Tamandua tetradactyla: one gene and its partner. The protein of the gene in region 2 purifies or fractionates together with the protein of the main gene of each other region. This does not show direct contact. Links are inferred from orthologs where the notes say so. Each region holds a gene or a part of one and is shown on either strand. Other genes may lie near its edges.

Region 1 (8,030 bases), on a different chromosome or scaffold from region 2:
GGAAGATATACATTCCATCACAATGAAGTGAGGTGCCACTCAAACTACCAGGTCTAAGGGTTATACTTAGAAATTTTTCAATGTCCACAAACATCTTAATCATTTTAACAGTTTATTCAAGCTCTTTCAAACCATATACAGAAAAATTACGGTATTTCAATCAAAGACAAACCCTAGGGGTTTGAAAGTATGATGGTTAAGAAGGTTGGCTCCAGAGACAAGCAGGCCAGGGTTTGAGCCCCAATTCTGCCACTTGTGGTACAATATCCTCGGGCAAGTTACTTCTTTTGAGTCTCTTCACCATGGGTCAAATGGTAATGATACCTACATTTCGGGGTAGAAAAGAATAAGTAATGGGTGCATAGTAAGTACTCAGTGATGTTAGTTGTTATATCTTTTCTAAACAGCATTCAGATATCTTCAAGAACCTACTGAAATTCATGATCACTGGGAAAAGTTTTTGATTAGAAATACTTAAAAAACAGTGAATGCTTCATGTGAATACTGTACTACTATAGTACAGTATAGTGAAAATCTCACCAGATTTTTCAGGTAATTGCACTCAGAGTATGACGTATTTTAAAACTAACTAGATTCATTAAGATAAGTGAAATATTTAAGAAGTCATTGTGGCTAAATGTTTGCCCTAAAACAAAACAGAAACAAAGTAATTCAAGGATGCATAACTCTCTCAGTACTACTATACTGAGCAAGGATTGAAGATATCAAGATGAGGGTTATTTAAAATGATATATAGGAACATTTTTTTTTTTGCAGTCTGGTACTACTGTTAATGACCATAAAAACCTATTTGCTTTGAAGCATAGCTTTGATTTTCATGTATCACCCAGATGATTTACAGTATTCTTGGAGGAAATTAAACAGCACCAAGACAGTGAGGATTTAACACACCTTAAGCAAGGTTCTCAAATGATCATTTTAACATCATGTACCAGAATCCTGGGGAAAGAATACTAGAATGTCACAACATAGTAAAATCAAAATCAAGTTTGCATGAATGAAGTTGGGCAAAACCCTTCCAGCTTATCTGGATATTTTATGTCAGGGCTTCTTATACAGGGTTCATGGACACCACAAATGGGTTTCAGAATTGTCTGTAACTCGAGTGAGAAATCCTAAGTAAAATCTGTGTGAGAGTGTGAATACCAGTGCATTTTCTGGGGAGTGGCGTCTTTGCTTTCATCAGATTCTCAAAGGGGTTCCTCAATGGAAAGGTAATTCTTTCACCAGAGTTTTGCAGAAAAGAAGCACAAATTCCTAGCTGCTCAAGTTCACAGAACAGTTCAAGGTAGCCTAATTATACTCAAAACAGGAAGGAAGTGACTCAAGTCTCTGTAGACTATGCATATGAAACAACAGCTAAAATGATACAATGGAAGAGAAAATGTTCTGAAATGTACAAAACGCCACAAAGTGAAAAGCAGTCTCGGGGCAGCAACGGAGAAGCAACTCCCCTTAGCCCCACAGCGTCTTTTGAGAAGTAAAGAATACTCATTCTAAGAGGAAGTTTGATGCTAGACACGTGAATCAAACACATCTCTGAAAGTTCAACTGAAAACAGGCAAGAAAAGAAGGAAGCGGAACAAATAACACTTTTAGAGAATAAAAATGGAGTTTATATAACCCACCCTAACTTGATTATGAAGCATCTCTTTTTAAACCCTTTTACCCCTCTTCCCGTCTTTAAAGGAAACTGGTAATCCTGGTTGCATTGTACAGGCCATGACACAACCACGTAGGTTTGAGTTATCACAGTACAATTTAAAATCAGTCTCAACTTCCAAATCACAAGATGAAGTTCAAAACAGTTGCAAAAACATGTTTATGATTTCATTAACACTGTTTCTTGGGTGCTATTGTGCCAAGTCAACCATCTGACTTTTGAATTACTTCAAACACAACATAGATAAATGCAAGCACTGAAAATAGCATATAATAATCTAACCATAGAGACCTGACAATTCAGTTCCAATTGCAAAGACAGCTCGGAACCCTAAATCTGAAAAGTGCACATAGGTGGAAATGGCTTCGGCCTTTTAATAGCCACAACATGCTTACAGTCCCTGAATAATACTCAGATGTGTATTCTGCCGAGTGATTTTGTGTTTACTTGGTAAGCTGTAATTAATATATGACTTAGGAATTAAATCTAGTTTTAAGAGATTATGAGGGTTCCGTACTGAAGAACATAATACAAAAAAGAACAAAAAACTTTAACAGGATCATAAGAACATTTACTGAATCTTCCTAGCCCCTGAGCACAGTACTCCCAATTTTCCCCATCGGAAAAATAAGGAAATCGAGGTTTGGCCAAACAAAGTCACCAGTCCAAGGTCACCCTTGGGAAAACCAGGTTTGAACCCAGGCTGTTCAGCTCCCAAACTCGAGACAGGCACTGTTTCCCAGGCGCTGCCTGGCGCTGCCGGCCCTCAACGTCCTGGATTCTCCCCCGTGGAGTGGGAGCGGGATGTCAAAAGCCAGGAAGTCATCTGCCCCAGAGGCCCCTCGACGTGCCTTGGTGAAGGAAGCCGCGAGTGTCGCCCACCCCGGGCGAGGGACAGGGTGACCGGTGGGGGTGACACCTGCAGCTTCTGGGGGCCGCATCCGCGAAGACGTTCGCAGTTTACTTCTGTAATTGGTTTTCCTGTGGCTTGCCCAAGCCCCTTCCTGTTAGGGGAGAGGGCCCGGCCCCAGCCCCCGCCCCCACCACCGGTCTGGGATGAAGGGGAATGGGCGGGGGGGGGGGGGGGGGGAGGTGTTGGTGGTGTGAGAGGGAAGGGAAGGAAGGGAGGGGGCGGCCCCCGCCCCGTCCGACTCTGACAGGCCTGGAACAAGCCCTGCCCCAGAGCCGCCTTCGGTTCCCCTTCGCTGCGACCACGGCCGAGGGGCGCGGGGCTCGCCGGCGGGGACCTGCCGGACCCGAGGGGGCGGCCCGGGGCAGGGGTCCCGGCCAGGAGAGGAGGGGAGCGGGCCCGGCCGGTGCGACTCACCCGGCCCGCTGCAGTCAGCGCACACCTCGCTGCTCCGGAGCCGCTTCGACATGGCTCCCGCCTCCCACGCGTCAGGAGCTAGGGGCCCCGGGACACCTAAGGCGGCGGCAGGAGCGCTTCCGCTTAACGGGTCCCTGCGGCGGCGCTAGCGGTGGCGCCTCTCCCCTCAGCGACTCGGAATAGCGGCGCAGCACGCAGGCGCAAGGAGGCTCCCTTCGGCGATATAGGTCATGTGACCGGACAGGGCACGCTGCCTTGTCGCCATCTTGAGTAAGGGCAGGCTCCTCCCCAGCATCTTTCGCTTTACTTCTAAATCTTGAATTTAGGTCCCCCTGGAAGAGATATGCCTCCTCGCAGCACCGATAAATACCAGGGGAAGCAGCAAAATCTAATGACTAGAGCGCTGCAGCCACAACCTTCCTGAGACAATCGGTGGCCATTTACTGTAACATTGGCCGAGTTCATTCATTCAGTCAACAAATACTTATTGAGCCCAGCTATGTGCCAAACATTGTCAGGAACGAGAGAAACAGCAGTGAGCAAAGCAGACAAAATTTCCTGTACTTATGGATGTTACATTCTATTGAGGTTGATCTGCAATAAAATAAGTCAAGTATAGAATATGTTAGATGCTTTCATCTTTAGAATTCAGTTTTAATCTCATCTGCAAAACGGAGTCCACGATTTGTTTTTATACGGCTTGCTACCTAAGAATAGTCTTCACCTTTTTAAAAGGTTTTAAGGAGAAGAAAAAGGAGAAAGAAGAGGAAGAGGAAGAATATGCAACAGAACTACAATGTGACCCACAAAACGTGAATATTTATTATCTGGCCAAGGACAAATGGAGTAATTTATGAAGAAGCATGTTGTGCCTGCCCCATAGGAAACCCGCAATAGATAGTAACCACCACTATTATTGGTATTTTATTATTTTCTAATCACTGCTCTTCTTCATATACTTGGAATTTGAGAATAAGAATCCTGAAGGAAAGTAATTTATAGGATGGTGTGAGATAAACACAATGAAGTGAGGTTAATTAGTGTGAAGGAGAGAAGAGATGTGAGCCTAACGCTAATGAACATTTATTGTATATGTTACATGCAAACAGGATTATAATCTCCATTTAGCAAATATTGGATGCCCATGATGGGCCAGGTACTGTTTTGGCTTCAGGTAGTCTGGTGAACAAAACAGAAGTGGTCCCTACCACTGTGGGGTTTTCAGACTGAGATAGGAGAGATGTTCAATTAACATGGGATGATGGAGAGAATGAAATTAAGTTGTATGAGGCTTCTGAAAAGAAAAGAAGTCCTGGAAAAGGCCTCAGAAGCATGACCCAGGATCCATCTCTCCAGTTTGATAAATGTGTGATGTGGAAATAGCCACACAGTTCCTGCACATTCCACAGTCTGAATCTATGGGTGCTATCTTGATGCTCTTGTTTCCTGTTTTGGTTCCCCGACTCACAAATCATCTGGGTTCAACACATGTGGAGAATGGATTAGCCCAGAATTCTCGAACAGCTGTCGTTGCAGACATCTGAAAAGCTGGTTGTGCACAGGCAGGAAAGGCAGAGAGGATGCTTTTAGGATGCATTGAATAACTTTGCTGAGCTAGGTTGTGTAGTTGTAGACAATTGAGCAGTAGCAGCAGCAGCAGCAGCAGCATGGAGCTCAGGCTGGTTAGTAGCTATAAGCTGACTTGGTTCTTTATTGATTCAAGAAGATACAGTGTCTGAAGTTGAAATCCAAGGATGAACTTCATATTTGCAGATTGTGGTAAAGTCTAAGTATTATATATGCACCCTTCCAGCCATAATTACAAATCCAAATGGTTAGCTTCAGGCAGGCCACGGTGGCTCAGCAGACAGAGTTCTTGTCTGCCATACTGGTGACCTGGATTCGATTCCTGCGTGTCTGCCTGCCCATGAAAAAAAAAAAAATAACAGTCATATGTGAAGTAAACTACCAGCACAGGTTCTTTCTTTTTTCTTTTTTTAATTAGAGAAGTTGTAGATTTACAGAAAAATCATGCATAAAATATAGAGTTCCCATAAACCACTCTATTATTAACACCTTGTATTAGTGTGCCACAGATATTTTTGAATCATAACCAAATTTGGAGTTCATATAGACAGTGGTTCTCAGCTGGGGGCGACATTGATCCCCCAGGGGATGTTTGGCGAAAAAAATTTTGAAGGGTGCTAAATTGGCCACCAGTGGATAGAGAAGAGGGAAGCTACTCAATATCCTACAAAACACAGGAAAGGACCTCAAACAAAGAATTATCTGGCCCCAAATGTGCTGAGGTTGAGAAACCTTGAGATAGAACTATGCTTCTATTATGCAAATATTAGATGCCACTTTCCCAGGGTTTATAGTTCTCCCTTTACAACTATTTTTGGTGTTGCCCACTTCCAAAATGGCTACTGACAAATCATAGAAGCTTCTGCCCTGGTCCAAAAAGGCTGCAAGGGGATGGTTTAGTCCAGGCCACTCAGACACCCCCCCCCCATCGCAGAGCCAATGGAAGCGGCCCAGTTGTGGAGCGCACAACTGTGGGTAGATAAAGCAGGGGGGACGAGGCTAGAGACGGATAGACCGATTTTTCCTTATTAAGACTTCGGGCCAAGAGAGGGAATTCTAGCTCCGTGTAGACGTTGGTATTGAGTTTTCCGGTGTGCAGTTAGGGGGTAATGGGGTCGAGAGGACACCCGGCCGGGTCCCTGGCTTCGCTCCCCCTGCCGCAGCGCGCAGTGGTTCGCTCCCCGCACTTCCCTGTTTGGGACAGTTCGGCCCCGAAGTCGGTTCGCGAGCTGTCAACGCCGGCGGGAGCGCGGCGGGGCGCGGGGTGGGCGCGGCCGACCTGGTCCCCGACCCGGCCCGCGACCCCCGACCTGCCGTGCGCCCCGCTCCTGGCTCTCTAGGCCACCCGGCCGAGCAGCGCGCCCCTCGCTCGCTCGCCTGGTTCTCTCGCTCGCTGGCTGCCGGCCGGGCGGACGGACGGACCCCGGAGACCCCGCCGGGGCCAAGACCTCAGTGAACGGGCGGCGAGGGCCCTCTGAGGTCTCCTCGCCATGTCTTCGGCCCACGACGACGGCAGCCACTTCCCTCTGCACCTTCTAGTCTGGAACAACGACTACCGGCAGCTGGAGAAGGAGCTGCGGGGCCAGGTGAGGGACTGGGCGGCCGGCCGTGGCCCGAAGGGGAGAAGGCGGGGGTCGATTCGCCTCGTTGAACCCATTTCCAGCCCCCAACCCCCTGGCCCCGCTGACCCTTTCAACTCTGCACTCGTGGTCCGATCATTGTAATAATAGTAGGACATGTATTGAGTGCTTACTGTGTGCCAGGCCCTGTGCCGAGGGCTTTATACATGATCTTTTTTTAACCTCTCCAACCCTTGGGAGGTAAATAGGTACGATTATTATTCCGTTTGACAGAGAAGGAAACTGAGGCTCTCAGAGGTTATGTGCAAGGTCGTCTGGCTCTTAAATACCAAGTCGGGATTTTAAGGCAGGCTGGCTGGTTCCAGAGTGGTCCCTTTTAACCAATAGGCTCTACTGCCTCTCAAAGACTGAAAATGACACACACACACCTCATCCACCCTTACTGCCTCTCAAAGACTGAGAATGACACACGCGCGCGCACACGCCTCATCTCACCCACCCTTACTGTAAGGAAAGGCACGGTTGGGTTTGGAGTCCTGGTTCTAATTAGCTCTGTGACCTTGGGCAAGGCATTTTCCCTCACTGACCCAAGTTAGCTTATCAGTTGAATGGGGGTATTGCTGCTATTATGTGCAAACCCCGGTTCTCGGCTATGTTGATAGGTCCGGGTGGGGAGGCCCAGGAATCAGCATTTTAACAAACTCCCCAGGGAGCCTGATGCTTACCAGAGTGAGAATCATTTGTGCATAAGATCCTTAAAAAATCCATTCCTTGTCTAAAGTGCTTTGAATCTTTGTCTTTTATTTATTGCCATCCCTTTAAGGTAGTGGTTTTTAACTGAAAGTGATTTGGCCTCCCCTGGCTCCTAACCCAGGGACATTTGGCAATGCCTGGAGACATTTTTGGTTGTAAATGAGTGTTGGGATGATGTGCTACTGGCATCTAGTGGGTGGTGGCCAGGGATGCTGCTCAACATCCTGAGAAACACAGGATAACCCTCCACACAGAGAATTATCCAGCCAAAAATGTCAGTAAGTGTGTTGACTGAGAAGCCCTGCTGTAAAGACATCCTAACAATTTTGAGGGGTATTGGTGCCCTCAGGTAAGAAGCTGACAGACTGAGCAGTTAGGATAAGGATTTGTAACTACCTCTGAAATCTGGTGTAATTGTAGTTGTCCACTCATTTCATCCAGTGTGCTCAAGGCCTGGTTTTTGAATGGTTCAAAATTGGTCATGTAATTGTCAAGTCTTTTTAGAGGAAAGGGATGGTTGGCAAAAATTAGGCTAGGTCAGCATCACCCTGTTTGGTGAACTGTTAATGCTAAAGGGCATGTTTTAAGTCTCTTGAGCATCCATTAAAAGTCAGAAGTCTCCCTTTTTCATTTAAACCCTCTGTTCAAATGGAATAAACTTTTGAAGTCAGTGGACTTGATAAGATAATAGAGTTAAGAGCTAAGGAGATATGACATCTACCCCAAACGAAAAGATTTGCTAATTAGGCCTCCCAGTATACTTGATGATTTAATTCCCCTTCTTTTGCTGGATTGGGCTCAGAGGGAATCCTCTCTTATTACTTTTAGCTCTGTTTCTAAATCTCACCTTGGAACTTTAAAAATGATGAGACTGGTTCTGGTTTTTAGGTGTCTGCTGTATTTTGCATCTGCACTTCCTCAGTATTATGGCCTCTGCTTCTTGAGAAATGTCAAGAGAAAGTACAAGAAAGTCAGAACTAAAATCCCGTTTGGTAGAAAGGTTCTTTATAATCATTAAACCACATACTCTTTCAATACCAATACCTGAAAACACCAAGCTTTCTATTCATTGTTAGGGAAGAAAGTGAATTGCAGTTTT
Region 2 (7,432 bases):
AAAAAAAAAAAGGCTCATTTAGAACATTATACAATGAAATTCAGTCTATAAGTCCCCATCAGGTAATCAGGCTTTTTAGCTGTCAATCACCAATAAACACCTAAAGACTGACATCTGATGTAATCCTCCAACATAAAAGTTAGAGACCAAAAGAAATGGAAAAAAAAAACAACTTAGAGGAAACAAACTCTGAGAGGAGAAAACAAGTTGTTTTTTAAGTAATGTTATTTCCTCAGAAATTAAAGATTTGCAAACATGAAACAAGAACTCTATACTATATAAAAACGAAATTTTAAGAGAATAAAGAACTCAAAATCTTTACAGGAAAAATGAAAACTCCAGCAGATGGCTTAGGAAATAAAATCAAGGAAACCACCCACATAAAATACAGCAAAACTACTAGACGAATAATAGAAGAAATATAAGAAAAAAGGAAACTAGTCAAAGAGGTCCAACCAAATAATAGAATGTTCAGAGAAAGAGAAAGAAAAAGGAGGTGACAGAAATACACTGAAAAAATAATTCAAAAAACTTCCCACACCTGATGAAAATAATTTTGTAGATTTAGAAGACATAATAAATGTCCATGAAAACAGCACATCCTATGAAATTTAAGAATACAGGATATACAGACTTCCAGAAAAGAAACAAACATTACACAGGAGCAGAAATAAGAATTATCTTCAGAATTCTCAAAAGGTTCACAAGCTAGAAAACAATTGAGCAACACCTTAAAAATTCTGAATGAAAAATATTTCCAACCTAAAACTGGTCACCCAATCAAACCAAGTGGGAAGGCAGAAAAAAGGTTTCCACAAATGCAAGGTCTCAACCTTTCACAGGAAGCTACTGTAGGATATACTCCTTCAAAAGGAGGGAATAAACCAAGAAAAAGAACTGCATAACTCACAGAAACAGACTTAACACAGGAGAAAGGCAAAGGGAGTCACCAGTTTTATGATAAAGGGGGAAATTTCAAAAAAACTATTATGTACCAGATACGGAGGGCAGGTTCAAGCAGCTTCAAAAACTGGTAGATACCGAAAGTGCAATTCTATTCCCAGTATATATACACCCAAAAGAAAGGAGCATGTATATCCACTGAAAAACTTAGGCAAGAATATTCACAGCAACTTTATTCACAATAGCCCAAAACTGGAAAACAAGCCAAAAGCCCACCAATGCTTAATTTAAAAGAAGAAAATTGTAGTATATTCACCCGTAGGAGTATTACCAACTGCTGCTACACCCAACATCATGATGAATCTCACAAACACAATGATAAGCTAAATAAGCTATCCACAAAAAACAGTACATATTGCTTGCATTTGCATTAAATTCAAGAACAGGCAAAAGTAATTTAATTCTCACCTAGTGACAGGTGAGAATAGTGGCTATAGGAGAGGGGGCATGAGTCTTCTGCCGCCCTGGAAATGTTCTAAATCTTGGGTGATGAATATACTGATGTCTTCCCAAATTGAACAATTCGTTGAGCAATATATTTACATTTTGTACTATTTTCTCTAAACAAAGTTAGAGAAAACAAGCTTTTTCTTTTAAAGAAATTAAGGAGATTTTTAATCCGATTCCACAACAGAAATTAATCAAAACGTCAAAGTCAAAGGAAAAACAAGAAACCCAGCAGCGCAAAGCATCACTCAATGTCTAACAAAGCATTCCATCTATGGTTCAGGTTTTACATGGGCCTCAAAGCACTGGGAAGATCTGGGCTAACAAGTAATACGTGGAGAGATACAGCAAAGAATTTAAAATTCAATACATGAACAAACACAACTGTGCACAAGACTTGTACACCCTGTAAACTGTATTTACAGATATTAGAGTTAATTCCTACAAATCACAATTTTCCCAAAGAAAAAAATCCCAGAGTTCTGGGTCAAGATGAAATGAAACTACTATTGGTTAAGCAATGCAAACCTACTGAGTAATCTAGCTTTAAGGGGATGCCTATTTAAGAACGGTCCATTACTGACAACTACAAAAAAAAAAAAACTTTTCGTTGAATTATTTCCCCCATTTAATCTGTGACCTCGCTGAAAAATGGGGGGCTTAATAAATCGTTAATGTTTTTTCATAAACCTATCAGAGTAAGATTCTTTTTTTAAATCTTGCAATACCTACCCGTTTTGACCAGACACTGAGATGCTTTTCTCCCCTCCGAAAATGAGGTTAGAAAATTCTCCTTTAAACCCTTTTTATTCTTTCCTAACTAACGGTTAGAATTTTCGGTGACTTCAATTCCTCAGCTCGACATCAGATAAGCGCCTATAACGTTACCTTCAGCTCTTGCACAACACCTAGCTTCCCAAGCTTCAAAGGGCGAAATTAACTTTTATGGAAATACATTAGGAAAGGTTACAAGACCAACCTATCAAGATAATCTTTTAACGGATATATTACAACTCAAGTCAAAATCCCGCAGCCCGAGCAACTCGCGAATGGAACTAAGGCTGGTCCGAACCATCAAAAAAAAAAAAAAACCACCCAGATTTCCCGAGGATGAGGAAAGCTGCTGGGGGTGGGGGAGGGAGGAGGGGCCGTCCATATGTCCACCCCTCAGCGCCCGGCCCGGCGCCTCCCCTCCCCTCGGCCGGGAGGTGCCAGCCCCTCCCCCGCCCGGCCCTTCTCCATCCTGTCCACACCTTCCCCGCCTCGGTTTAGGCACACGGCAACCAGCAGGACTTTCTCTAAGAAGGCAAGCAGGCTGGGAAGCGCGCGCCGCACAGCCGCCCACCCGGGCCTCGCAAGGGTCGCCGGCCGGCGCGCTCACCCCGACGCGGTGTCCCGGGGCCAGACAGGGAGGCCCGAGGGGCGCGCGGGGCCGCGGTGCGAACGCCCAGGCCCGGCCCCGCGGGCTCCCCGCCCCCCTCCGGCTGCCCTCAGCTCGGAGCCGGCAGAAGGCGCCGGGGCTGCTAACTTCGCCAGAGAAGAGGAAGCGACACGGCGAGTCACCAGCCGGGCGGACACACAGGGGAGGGAGAGAGATGCGGCCTCCCGGCGTGGCTCTGCCCCGAAGCCGCCCCGCCTCGCCTCGACTCACCTCTGCGGCGCCGAGGCCGCTCCAGCTCCCCTGAGGAGCCCACCAGGACGCCGCCGCGGCCGCCGCGATGGCCGTTACGGCACGAGGCCTGCGCTCCGCCGCCGCGTAGCTCTTGGGAGAGGGGCGGGGCGGGGGCGGAGCGCGCGCGGCCGGCGGGTGGGCGGGCGGCGGCGCCGACTGGCCGAGCACTTACCGGCGGATCCGCCCCGACAGGAAACCTCGCTCTCCCAGCGGGTCCTGATAGGCTCGCCCGTTCCCTTCTCTCCAGCCCCTCCCTCGACGGTGGTTGGTGCCGCTCTAGGATTGAGCAGGCCGAGCTGTCAATCAAGCGCTGAAGTGGGCGTGGCGGGAGCTGAGGCTGCGCTGCGACCACAGGCCAGAGGACTAGCGGGTGGGCTGCGCTGGGTCGGAGTCTCTCCGCCGCTGCTCCCCGGCTGCTGCAGCTGACGATTTTGAGCCTTGCTGCTCAGCGCCCGCAGAGCCACTCCGCTGCAAAAAGTCACTGCTTGTGGAGTTCAGCCCCAGCTGCTCTGAGAATTTACTTCCTCCCTGGATTTTGTCCCTGAGGATCTTGGCAGCTGAAGGTTCCTGGGGGCGGGGAGCGAGCAAAAGGGCTAGGAAATAGGTACATGGGAGGGGAAAAAAATGCAAGCTATATGCTTATATTTGGTCCATAAGCCGAAATGAGCTGGCGCTGAGGGCCTTGGAAGGGCAGCTTCCAGTCTCGCCTGGGGTAATCGTTCTCCGTGGCCAGTCCCGGCCACCTGCTGGGTAGGCAGTATTTAGTTCTCCCCCCCTTCCCCCAGCCCTGCAGGCCCTCCCCAGCCCCCGGCGACATCGGCCTAGTTCCCTGCTCCCTCTCTTTGTTGCTCAGTTTAAGTGTTGCTTCCTCCGAGAAGCCTGCAGGCTTACGTTACCTTTCTCGGATTGCAGATCCGTTTCCCAACAGAACTGTAGTCCTTGTTCCCATCTAAACTGTAAATTCCCTTAGGTCAGGAACTATGTCAGTGTCTGTTCAGCTTTTCCCCAGGGCACATGAAAGACAGCGGTAAATATTTGTTTAAGGCGTTAATGCATCTTTCCCTCCTTTAATCCTGTCCCTGACTAAATCCCAGGGTCATGGCAGTTATTTGTATTTAACGATTCAACTACAAAATGATCCGTTTGCGTGCTGATGTATGCATGTGGTTTGCCTGCCATATGGGGAATCACAAGGTCAAGCACAAATCGCCTGTAGTTACTTCCGGGCCTCAAGTTGGCTGCGCCAAGTAGACCGTGAAACACAGCTGGCCAACAGCTACTCTGTAGCCACATTCCATTATGAGCAACCGAATCAATAATGCAAGTGAATTTGGGGTTTGTTCTAAGGGTCTGAGTAACTTTGCGTTATCATGTCATGCTATTCTTACTTATTAAAAGATCTCATAAGGTTTATAGCTTGAGATAGTAATTCTCTCATTTTTGAAGTGTAGAAATGATTATCTAGATGTTAAATGATTTGTCCAAAAGATCACACAGCAAACTGTTAGGACCTGACTCAATTCAATTCTAGTTACGTGTTTAACACGTGAGGAGGGGGAGAGGGGTGTAAATTCAAAAACTGGTAAAATAGAATCCTAACCTTCAGGTAGCTTATACTGATATCTGAAGCAGGGAAGATAATCCCAGAAAAAAATATGCTCGAGTCATACATTTAAATTTAATTTTGTTAAGGGAATCTGTCTTTTGAATGGGCCAGTAATCTGAGCAGACCTTTCACAGATTTCTTAACTTGTATGTCAGTTATTTAAGCAATAGAAGCAACAGCTGCAAGGAAGGGAGAGAGCTTAAATCTGCTTTTTCATAGAAGGGTGTCAGTTCCCTATAAACTTAACTTTTTCCTTTAGTCTGCTTCATAACACATTCTTACTAAGAATGTTAAAAATATCTGAAAAAATGTATGAAAAAGAGTCAAAGTAGAAAAATAAGAAAACAGCCAATTTTCTTATTGAAAACTGAAATGAAAGAGGAAAGCATAGAGAGAAAGGATAGTTAGGCAGAAAATCATCTATGAAAATTTCAGTTTGGTGTACTTAGAAGGAGGGAGTTGTCCCAGAGACCACCTTTTGCACACTCTCCCCTACTTCCAAACATATACAGGCACATGGCTTATCTCTGTCAGTGGAATGCGAACCAAAAACAGGAATCATCTTTGCTAATTATGGCTCAGTGGAACAGGGACTAGCCAGAATTAGACAACAACAAAATTTAGGTAAAGACTAATGACTTGTGGACTGAAGGTGGGGTTTGGGATATGGGCAGATAACTGTCTAGAAACAAAAACAGGTAGGTGACTCATGTCATTAATCCAAAAGGATTTGGGAAGACAAGGAAGGGAAAAATGAGCCTCCATGTTCCAAAGCCTTTCCTGGGAAACTATAGATAGCTTATAGTTATAAATTATTAGAGAGAATGATAGCATCACCAACAGGCAGGAATGTTTAGACCAAAAAAGCCCTATCAGCAAAGGTAAGTAATTAATCATAGGCTCAACTGTGATGTATCAAAGTTAGTAGACCCTGGTAACTAAACAATGTCTGAATTAAACATTTTCATACTTTTATGGGAATCTGTTCTACACACATTGATTGAGGGTCCACACTGTAGTAGGTACTATAACAAGTACTGGAAATTTAAAGCTCAGTCCCTGCCTTAAAGGAGCTCTATCCATTTCAGAGAATGCCATACAAATATGGCATTAATGCAGTAAATACAATAGATATGTCCAGAGGGACATAAAGTCAAAAGGCAGCAAAGTTGTGTGATCAGGCTAGTCGGTCAATTAACTAGGCAGAAAAGAGAAGGGCATTCCATGCAGAGGGTCCTGTAGGGGGGGAAAAGGGGGATTAAAAATAGAGTATTTCTGGAACAGAGGGTGACTAGAAATGTAATCAAAGGTAGGTCGTTGAAGATCTTGTTAAGTAAAAGACCTTACACCTCACCCTATAGGCATTGAGAAGCCATCAAAGGGCTTTCTTTCAGTTGTTTAAATGTCATTCCATTGTTGACTGTCCTCCACTGTATCTAAGTTGACTGTAATTGTAGTTCTTATTATTTTTCTGTATGTCCTAGTTCTTTTTTCTGGCTGCTTTTAGGATTTTTTCCTTGATCTTTCTTTATTGGCAAATTATGATGTTTCTAGGTGCAGTTCTCCCTGTGTTTATTTTGTCTAGGGTTCACTGAGTTCCCTGGATCTGTACGTTGCTGTTTGTTTGTTTGTTATCAATTTGGAAAATTTTTGCCCAGTAGTTCTCCAAATTTGTTTTCTACCTGATTCTCTTCTCTCTCCTCTTCTGGGACTATAGTTTCACTTAGCTAGGCATTTTAGCTAAGTATACTTAGCTCTGTTCACTTTTTTCAACTTTTTCTTTATGTTTTTCAATTTGGGTAATTTCTATTGAGATCCAATGTCTAGTAATCCCTGAAAAATCTGAATGTTGACATTTTCCCAAAGCACAAACATACTACCAATGGCTGTATTCCTTTGGAGAAGGTTTGAAGACATAACCATCTCAAGATAAGACCATACAGAGTATTTAGTGATTACAAGATAGGATAACAGAGAGTATTTAATATTGGGTGTAGATCAACTAATAAAGCAAAAAGGAAACACTGATGTAGCTCACAGGTGATAAGTACAGGGTGAAGCTTCCACTCCTCAGACTTCTGAAAAAGAAGAGGTTGGACGATCAGGCCTTAGAAGCTTAGAGGAATGGCCCCACTGAGCTGGAGCTCAGAACCTTGAGGAGGGAAACTGTCCCACTGGTCCTTCTGTTTCTGAGAGGGATAGGAAGCTAGTTTGGGGGTTGCCGAAAGAAACTCAAGTCTGGAACCAATTGCTGCTCCTGCGGAAAGGATTATTGCTTATTGCTGGGGTAACAATGACCGGAACTGCAAGCAAACAAAAAGGAGGAAGTCCCTTCTCTGCCTTCCCGGCTCCCTCTAATGCCCATTATTGGTGGAACATAGTGAAACACCAGGTGACAAAGGAAAAATGTAGCTTGCAGAGTCTAAGCCATCAACGAGCAAAGTATAGATGAGTGAATTTGGAGCTGAGAGACAATAATTACCAGTGCCATATCAACATTTGTGCTAAGATAGTAATAATGGCCCAAAGTAAGAAAATACTACCTTATATACTTTTATACATTTTAGATCCATTTTAAAAGACTCATATAAATTTTGCAATACTATGATTACTATTACTATCTTTTTCAGGGTTAAGGAGTGCCTTTACTTGCCACAAAATTAGAAAGGGCATTTTTGGAAGAGAGATATACAGCTGAAGGCGCCCTGCCCCAACATAAGGTCTCCTACAGTCAAGTACAAAAT

Evidence for each region.
Region 1: the proteins of NCK1 (region 2) and GIT2 purify together in Homo sapiens (co-immunoprecipitation; 3 studies listed by BioGRID and IntAct, with this or other methods). This does not show direct contact. The link is inferred for Tamandua tetradactyla from reciprocal best matches to the Homo sapiens genes NCK1 and GIT2.

Annotation. Positions count from the first base shown.
Region 1 is NC_135331.1:21,456,017-21,464,046, reverse strand, and holds the start of GIT2 (ARF GTPase-activating protein GIT2), read right to left. Parts: upstream 3,215-8,030; 5' UTR 3,064-3,214; coding exon 3,012-3,063; intron 1-3,011. Other genes in the region: ANKRD13A (ankyrin repeat domain-containing protein 13A), read left to right, coding at 6,089-6,184. UniProt on the Homo sapiens protein: GTPase-activating protein for ADP ribosylation factor family members, including ARF1.
Region 2 is NC_135341.1:80,872,784-80,880,215, reverse strand, and holds the start of NCK1 (SH2/SH3 adapter protein NCK1), read right to left. Parts: upstream 3,169-7,432; 5' UTR 3,062-3,168; intron 1-3,061. UniProt on the Homo sapiens protein: Adapter protein which associates with tyrosine-phosphorylated growth factor receptors, such as KDR and PDGFRB, or their cellular substrates. Maintains low levels of EIF2S1 phosphorylation by promoting its dephosphorylation by PP1.